Linked DNA regions of Oryctolagus cuniculus. The protein of the gene in region 1 interacts with the protein of each later gene in a pairwise test. Links are inferred from orthologs where the notes say so. Each region holds a gene or a part of one and is shown in the gene's direction. Other genes may lie near its edges.

Evidence for each region.
Region 2: the proteins of KIFBP (region 1) and DOK2 interact in a two-hybrid assay, tested with the Homo sapiens proteins (2 studies listed by BioGRID and IntAct). The two-hybrid records come from large-scale screens. The link is inferred for Oryctolagus cuniculus from reciprocal best matches to the Homo sapiens genes KIFBP and DOK2.

Annotation. Positions count from the first base shown.
Region 1 is NC_091446.1:60,775,303-60,779,831, forward strand, and holds the start of KIFBP (KIF-binding protein), read left to right. Parts: upstream 1-1,550; 5' UTR 1,551-1,646; coding exon 1,647-2,072; intron 2,073-4,529. UniProt on the Homo sapiens protein: Activator of KIF1B plus-end-directed microtubule motor activity. Required for organization of axonal microtubules, and axonal outgrowth and maintenance during peripheral and central nervous system development.
Region 2 is NC_091439.1:1,379,123-1,383,590, forward strand, and holds the start of DOK2 (docking protein 2), read left to right. Parts: upstream 1-1,585; 5' UTR 1,586-1,786; coding exon 1,787-1,849; intron 1,850-2,779; coding exon 2,780-3,061; intron 3,062-3,279; coding exon 3,280-3,358; intron 3,359-4,177; coding exon 4,178-4,362; intron 4,363-4,450; coding exon 4,451-4,468. UniProt on the Homo sapiens protein: DOK proteins are enzymatically inert adaptor or scaffolding proteins. They provide a docking platform for the assembly of multimolecular signaling complexes. DOK2 may modulate the cellular proliferation induced by IL-4, as well as IL-2 and IL-3.

The DNA of each region.
Region 1 (4,529 bases):
TCTTCCATCCGATGGTTCACTCCCGAGATGGCCGCAACAGCCGGAGCTGCACCGACCTGAAGCCAGGAGCCAGGAGCTTCTTCCAGGTCTCCCACGTAGGTATAGGGGCCCAAGGACTTGGGCCATTTTCTACTGCTATCCCAGGACATAGCAGAGAGCTGGATTGGAAGTGGAGCAGCCGGGACTAGAACCGGTGCCCATATGGGATGCTGGTGCTTCAGGCCAGGGCATTAACCCACTGCACCACAGCGCCAGCCCCAAATTGGTACGTTTTTAAAAATACCTATCTCGCCGGTGCCGCGGCTCACTAGGCTAATCCTCCGCCTTGCGGCGCCAGCACACCGGGTTCTAGTCCCGGTCGTGGCACCAGATTCTGTCCCGGTTGCCCCTTTTCCAGGCCAGCTCTCTGCTGTGGCCAGGGAGTGCAGTGGAGGATGGCCCAAGTGCTTGGACCCTGCACCCCAAGGGAGACCAGGAGAAACACCTGGCTCCTGCCTTCGGATCAGCGCGGTGCACCGGTCGCAGCGGCCATTGGAGGGTGCACCAACGGCAAAACGAAGACCTTTCTCTCTGTTTCTCTCTCTCACTGTCCACTCTGCCTGTCAAATAAATAAATAAATAAATAAAATAAAAATAATTAAAAAAATAAAAATACCTATCTCAAGGCACTTCATGTGGCTAGAGCTTGGTAAAAGTCTCCCTTTCCCACTTGGTTACTTCAGTGGTAACCGGTCTTCCAGCCTGTTACCTCGGGCAGTTCACCTCTGTATTCCAGGCTCAGTGAAATAGGTACCTACCGGTGAGTGCTCCTATCCATAACTTTCCATCAAGAATTCATGTCCTAGTAAGCGATCCCTGTTAGAGAGCAGAGCCTTTTCCAAAGAAACTTAACCAGCGATGGGTGGGGTATACCTTAATCTCAAAGGTCGGTTGCCTTCCAGTTTACATCCATTAGCTATTTTCCTTCTTTTTTAAAATTTTTTTTATTTATTTTTTATTTGAAAGGCAGAGTTACAGAGAGAGCAAGAGACTGACAAATCTTCCATCGGCTTGGTTCATTCTCCAAATGGCTGCAATGGCCAGGGCTGGTCCAGGAGGGAGCTAGGAGCTTCATCCAGGTCTCCCACTCGTGGAGGCAGCTTCTTCCACTGCTTTTCCAGGCACATTAGGAGGGAGCTTGACTGAAGTGGAGCAGCCGGGACTCGAACCGGTGATCATACAGGATGCCGGGGGTACAGGCGGGGGCCTAACCCGCTACGCTACAATGCCGGCCCTGATATTTTTGTAAACTATATTCCAAAACGTTTCGGTAAAGTAAGCGGATATTAAACATTTTAATATGCACTATACATACACACACTTCACAGGGTGAACTAACAGGAGACGACACCACGACGTAGTGGGGCGGGGCTGGAGGCGGGGACACCCTCGGGGACCTATTTTCTAGACAGCAGTTGCCATGGCGACCACCTCGCCTTCCCATTGGTCACTGCCGAACCTATTGCGGTTCCCCAAGCGGACTTTAATTGGCTGCCGATCTGCCGCAGCCCGACCTGTCGAGAGCCGTAAGTGAAGTGTCGCAAAGCAGAAGGAAGGCGGGAGTCCCGACTGCAAACACTGAGAAAGCCCCGGCTGTAGGGGCCGCTATGGCGAGTGCGCAGTGGGCCGAGGTCCGAGAGAAATTCCAGGCGGCGCTGGCCCTGTCGCGAGTGGAACTGCATAAAAACCCGGAGAAGGAACCGTACAAGTCCAAATACAGCGCCAGAGCGCTGCTGGAAGAGGTCAAGGCGCTGCTCGGCCCCGCGCCCGACGACGAGGATGAGCGGCTGCAGGCCGACGAGGGCTTGGGCGCTGGGGACCACGCCCTGGGGCTGCCCACGGAGGTGGTGGAGGCCGAAGGGCCCGTCGCCCAGCGGGCGGTCAGGCTGGCGGTTATAGAGTTCCACCTCGGGGTGAACCACATCGACACCGAGGAGCTGTCGGCGGGCGAGGAGCACCTGGTGAAATGCCTGCGGCTGCTGCGCAGGTACCGGCTCTCGCACGGCTGCATCTCCCTCTACATCCAGGCGCAGGTGAGAGCGAGCCCGGCCGGCCGCCGTGCAGCCCCCAGAGCCGGCCCCGGGCCGTGCGAGGCGAGGGCGTGGAGAGGAGCCCCCGCTCCGGGCCGTGTTAGATATGGCACGACTTCTGCTCGTGTGTTTGAAGCGGTGGGAAAGGCCAGCCTTAGGACTTGGAGCCGTGTAACCGCATCCCCCTGCGCTGGCTTCCATACTCCCTCTCCATGCCTCGCTTGCCCACGGGCAGCACGCTGGTTTCCGGGGCCCTCCTGCGTGTCATGTGCCCGCCGGCTCTCCGCTGTCCAGAGACTGGTCATTCTGTTAAAATCCAGACTAATGTAAATCTTAACTTAAGGTGTCGTGGAAATGACAGTGACCGTAAAACATTAATAATTCAAAACAAAATGTCTGAAGTCTTCAGTTTCCGTTGCTACATTGGTTCGCCCCCCCGGGGGATTCCTGCCCATTCAAAACCATCCCAAGAATCACCTCATTTCAGTAACTTTCTTTGGATCATTTTGGTTCAGACTGATCTCTTTACCACCTTTGAATACTTACAATATTCCCGTTTTTATGGTGCTTGATAAGAAATAAACCAACATTCTGCATTGGGAACAAAACTCTTGAAAATACAAGGATGCATGAGCTTCCTGTGTGTGCCAGGATGTTTGCTTACTCTCACAGCCAGTAGTTCCAGGACCCAGTGTAGGTGATTGAGGGAATATTACCAAAGTGGATTTGATGGCAAGTAGGTCTCAAAGACAAACCTCAAAATTAAGAGACAACTCATACTGGATCATATTCTTTTGTCATGGTCCAGCAATTTGAAAGCCACACAGTAACAGAGACTACCTTTTCTTAAACTCACCCCAGTAGGTGGCACATAGTGTGCAGATTCTAAATATCTCTTGAGTGGATGAGGAACTATTGAAATTTGTAATATGTTAAATTCAAACTAAACTTCAGTTATCTGAAGTTTTCCTTAACCATATAACCTCAGATTTTTTTTTTTTTTTTTTTTTTTTTTTGGACAGGCAGAGTGGACCGTGAGAGAGAGAGAGAGAGAGAAAGGTCTTCCTTTTGCTGTTGGTTCACCCTCCAATGGCCACCGTGGCCAGCCTGCTGTGGCTGGCGCACCGCGCTGATCCGATGGCCGGAGCTAGGTGCTTCTCCTGGTCTCCCATGGGATGCAGGGCCCAAGGACTTGGGCCATCCTGCACTGCGCTCCCTGGCCACAGCAGAGAGCTGGCCTGGAAGAGGGGCAACCGGGACAGAATCCGGTGCCCTGACCGGGACTAGAACCTGGGGTGCCGGCGCCGCAAGGCGGAGGATTAGCCTAGTGAGCTGTGGCGCCGGCCATAACCTCAGATCTTAATGAGTACTTTAAAAATTATTTAAGGAGTGGTTGTTGTGGCGCAGCGGGTTACACCACTGCTTGCAGTGCCAGCATACTTGATTGAGGCATGGAGCCCTGATGTGGAGTCCTGGCTGCTCCACTTCCAATCCAGCTCCCTGCTAATGTGCTCCCTGGGAGACAGCAGGTATTCCTGCGTCAACATGGGGGACCCAGATGGGGCTCCTGGATCCTGGCTTTGGCCTAGCTCAGCCCTAGCTGTTGCAGCCATTTAGGGAGTGAACCAGTGATGAAAGATCTCTTTCTCTATTGTTATTCCATCTCTGTCACTTGGCCTTTCAAATAAATTAAATAAATCTTAAAAAATCTGTTAAAGGCCGATGCCGCTGTGGATCACTTGGTTAATCCTCCGCCTGCGGCACTGGCATCCCATATGGGCGCTGGTTCTAGTCCCGGCTGCTCCTCTTCCAGTCCAGCTCTCTGCTGTGGCCTGGGAGGGCAGTGGAGGATGGCCCAAATGCTTGGGCCCTGCACCCTCATGGGAGACCAGGAAGAAGCACCTGGCTCCTGGCTTCAGATCGGCGCAGCTCCAGTTGTGGCAGTCATTTGAGGAGTGAACCAACGGAAGGAAGACCTTGCTCTCTCTCTCTCTCTCTCTCACTGTCTGTAACTCTACCTGTCAAATAAAAAAAAATCTGTTAAAAAGAATAAGTAAATAATGTTGAACAGAGAACTGCCCAATCTCATTATATTATCAGTATGACCTACAGTGCTAACTACTGAGGACAGATCAAGTCACTTTTTCATAAAATTATTGAGTTGATATATTTTATGTTTCTGTGGAATGACCAAGTCACTTTTTTTTTTCTTAAGGATTTATTTTGTTTATTTGAAAGACAGGCTTACAGAGAGGCAGAGAGAGGGGAGGGAGTCTTCCAAACGCTGGTTCACTCCCCCAGATGGCTGCATGACAAGAGCTGTGCCAATCTGGAGCCAGGAGCTGCTTCTGCTGCAGACTGAGGCTTTAACCTGCTGCACCTCAGTGTCGGGGGGCCCCCCCAAGTCACTTTTAAACTGTAAGGTTTCTAAACCTTTTTTATTTCACATGCCCCCTTTGG
Region 2 (4,468 bases), on another chromosome or scaffold:
TCTGTTCCTGCTTCCCCGGGCAAGCAGGAGTGACGGCTCAGTGGTTGCTCAGGTCCCTGCTACCCACACGGGAGACCTGGATTGAGTTCCCCGTTCATAACGCCAGCCTGGCTCCGTCCTGGCTGTTTTACTAGCAGATGAGAGCTCATTGTCCCTGCTTCTCTCTTTGCCTCTCCAATAAGATAAATAAAACTTTTAAAAATATCTATATTGGGCCGGTGCCGTGGCTCAATAGGCTAATCCTCCGCCTTGCGGCGCCGGCACACCAGGTTCTAGTCCCGGTCGGGGTGCCGGATTCTGTCCCGGTTGCCCCTCTTCCAGGCCAGCTCTCTGCTGTGGCCCAGGAGTGCAGTGGAGGATGGCCCAAGTGCTTGGGCCCTGCACCCCATGGGAGACCAGGATAAGCACCTGGCTCCTGGTTTCGGATCAGCGTGGTGCGCCGGCCACGGCGGCCATTGGAGGGTGAACCAACAGCAAAGGAAGACCTTTCTCTCTGTCTCTCTCTCTCTCTCTGTCCACTCTGCCTGTCAAAAAAAACAAACAAAAAAACAAACAAACAAAATATCTATATTGAAGTTGTTGCTACGTAGATCACGCTTGCAGGACCCCCTGTTGTGGTGCAGGTTAAGCCACTGCCTGTGATGCCATCATCCCATATGGTGTTCAAGTCCCGGCTGCTCCACTTTCCTTCCAGCTCCCTGCTATGGCCTGGGGAAGCAGTAGAAGATGGCCCAAGTGCCTGGGCCCCTGCACCCACGTGGGAGACCCAGATGAGGCTCCTGGCTCCTGGTTTCAACCTGACTCAGCCTTGGCTGTTGAGGCCATTTGGGGAGTGAGCCAGCAGATGGAAGATTCTCTCTCTCTCTCTCTCTCTCTCTCTCTCTCTCTCTCTCTCTCCCTCTCTCTCTCTCTCCCACCGTGTGTAACTCTACCTTTCAAATAAATAATAAATCTTTTTTTTAATCCCTTCCAGATGAGCCCTGTGACTTCCTGATGCTCCCAAAGCCTGGAAAAAAGGTGAGATCCAACAGCTGAGATGCACTTGCTGGTGGTCAGTGCTGGCTCCAGAGGGGATGTCCCTGGTTCCAGACTGTGTGGGCGGGCGGTGGGCAGGGTGAGGCAGTGTTCCCACGGAGTGGGAAGGTGTGTGTGTGTGCAGTGCTGAGTGTGCTGCAGCCCTCAGCCAGTTGAGAGACCTGGCTTCCAGCTTGACGACCTTGAGCAAGTGCTGAGACCCTGCTGTGAGCCTGGGTTTCCTCGTTTCTAAGTGATTTGGGCCCATTGCTTTCTAAGGCCTCTTCCAGCTCGGGGGTGCTCAGCAGCAGCCAGCCGGGGCCTGGGGCCTGGGGCCTGGGGCCTGCTGCTCTGAGTCTGACTCGCGGACCGGGTTTCTGGGCCTCACTGTTCTTGGGTGGCAGCCGCTCTCTCTGGTGACTCCCCATGCCGTCCCGTGTCCCTGAGTTGCTGCTCTTGGAGGAGCTGGAATTTGGCTTTTTGGGGGCATTATTTCTTAGTGGCTGGAAATGCAGGAAGCTTGAGTGTGAAGCTCACTCATCAGAAACCAAACACACACACACACACACACACACACGCACGCAGAGCAAGAAACCACAAGCCTATCGGCCTGTCGTCAGCGAGCAGGCTAGAACAGTGCAGAAAACCCTAGGCAGAGAGGAAATGAACTTGAACTTGCGAGAAGGGGGAACACAGGCTGAGAAGAGAGGGGAGAGGCAGAGGGCGGAGTGGAAGGAGGGAGTGGACGCCAGGGGCCCGAGATGGTGAGACGATGGAGGCCGTGGCTGTGAAGCAGGGCTGCTTGTACCTGCAGCAGCACCAAGCGTTTGCGAAGGTGGGAGCCGGGCTGGGCGCAGGGGCTGGGCACAGGGGCTGGGTGCAGGGGCTGGAGGGAGCTCCAGGCTCCCAATCCCTCTGTGGGGACTATGCCGGCGTTCCAGCTCAGGCAGGCTCTTTCCTTACCATGCTTGCCTCCCAAGCCAGGCCCCGTGGCGCAGGCGGGGGTGGAGAGGAAGGAGGGTGCTGACTTAGCTCCTGCGTTCTTGTGCTCTCTCTCGACTTCCTCTCCTGGGGCAGCTTGGACAGGGATGGAAGGCATGGGGTGGGGGGCAATCCGGGACGATGCTGGAGGGTCTCCCTCACTTTCCCCACCTTGTGGAGGGGGGAGTGTCTGGCTGGCATTAAGCAGGTCAGGGGCCTCTGGGAGCTGCAGCCTCAGGGCGTCCAACCTCCTCCTCCTCTCCTGGCCTCCTTGAATGAGGAAGTCTTGTCCCCAGCGGACCCACCCAGTCAGTCTCTGTTTCTCTCCCCTTTCCCTCCACTCCCCCCAACGCCCTACCTGTCAAGCAGAAAACTTCAGGGGGCCCGGAGAGAAGTTTCTGGAGACAGGCCCTCTCTTGTGAACATGTCCAGGGCAGGCCCCTGGCGCTCCCCCCAACCCCTCCTCTACCTCTGGAGCTCACTGGTGCTCTTCCCTAGACCAGCACCTGCAGGGCGGGCTTCCTGCTGCTTGCAGCCTGCTCCCCCTGCAGCTCACTGCTGTGCCTCCTGCTGCCTTCAGCAGCCTCTCTGTTGCTTCTGGCCCATCTCCTGTCCTCGCACTCCGTGGGCCCAGTTACCCTCTCTGCCTCCCTATCCGTCCCCATCTCCCGTGCAAGCCCCCCTTCCCTGTGGTCACAAGCTCTCTCTCTCTCTCTCTCTCTCTCTCTCTCTCTCTCTGGGTGGCTCCCTCCCGGTGCTCCCTCTCCCACGCATCTGGGTTCAGAAATGGCGCCGGTTCGGGGCCGTGCTGTACGCGGAGTCGGGCTGCGCCTTGGCCCGCCTGGAGCTCCAGGAGGGCCCAGAGAAGACACGTCGGGGAGATGCTGGCCGGAGGGTCATCCGCCTCAGTGACTGCCTGCGGGTGGCCGAGGCCGGCTCCGAGGCCAGCAGCCCCCGGGACACCAGCGCCTTCCTCCTGGAGACCAAGGAGCGCCTGTACCTCCTGGCAGCCCCCACGGCAGAGCGCAGTGACTGGCTGCAGGCCATCTGTCTGCTGGCTTTCCCCGTGAGTCGTTCAGAAGGGGTGGGGGTGGGCGGTGGGGGGGGCCCTGGCCACTTCTGGTGAGCAGGTGTTAGAACGTCCAGGTCAGGGTGTTGGAGTTGGCAGCCCGGTCCAGAGAGTGCACGAGGGGGTCCAGAGAGTGCACGAGGGGCTCAGGGGTTGGAGGACAGCCTGGAGGGCAGCAGAGGTGCTGAGACCCCGGCCTCCTCCCCTTGGGGCAGAGGAAGGAGCTGCAGGCGCCCGAGGGGAAGAGTGGCCAGCCCCACATGGAGATCAACGAGCTGTACAGCCGGGCCACAGGTGAGGCTCCCTGGGGTGTGGGTGGGAGGAGGTGAGGGGCCCCTGCCGGTCCCCGAGTCTTCCTGTCTCGTGGTTGTCCCCAACCTGGGCCAGTCGCCTTATCAGCCTTTCCCCCTTGCTTCCGGTGCTGCCTAAGGCGGGGGGGGGGGGCGCCTCCCTGAGTACCACTGCTGGTTCACCCCCTCTTGTTCAGGCTGAGGGGCCCCACGTGAGGTTGCTGCTCTTAAGTCCTCTGTGCTGGGACCCCAGCGATTGTCTGGGGGAGGGGAGAACAGAGAGAGAGAGAGAGAGAGAACTTTTCTGTGTTTGCCTGTGCAAGTCTCAGGTGGCTGGGAGCTTTTGGGTGACAAGGCAGGTGCCACTGTCACCGGCTCTTGTCCTCTGGGCTGTGTGTGCGTGCGTGTGCGTGCTTGTACAAGCATGGCCGGTGGACACAGAGTCCCCTGTCCACCTAAGCTCCCCCGCCCCCCAGGGCACCTGCAGGCATAGGCAGTGGAGGCAGGGTCGGGCTTCCCCTGAAGCTGTTAACAGTGGGAGTTGGGGAGCCAGCTGGTTTGTGGGTGAGAGGTGAGATGAAGCCCAGGCTGTGGGCCTGGCAACACCAACAGGAAGCTTGTGAGCACAGGATCGCGTGGATGTGCCCAGGGTGGGTGGGCACGCGTGGGGGTGGAGGTACCTGGCCGGATGACCCGGCTCAGGCCAGCTTAGCCTACACCATCCAGACAGGTGCTCCCCACCCCCACGCCGGAGGAATTTGTCATGCTTTTCCTGGAGGCTGCGCCCCTCCCCCCCGACTTTTCTCTCCTCTCTGCTCCCCAGTGGTCCCTTGCAAGGAGTTTGCAGTGACCATGAGACCCACAGAAGCCAGCGAGAGGTGCCGGCTCCGGGGCTCCTATATCCTGCGAGCCGGGGAGAACGCCCTGGAGCTGTGGGGCGGCTCGGAGCCCGGCACACCGCTGTTCCACTGGCCCTACAGGTTTCTGCGACGGTTCGGGCGGGACAAGGTGAGCGAAAGCGCGAGCCAGGTTGGAGAGGATCAGGAGGGCCCAGTGCACCTGCTCGGGCCCCTGACCCCCGACCCCTGCCGCCTAGGTGACCTTTTCCTTCGAG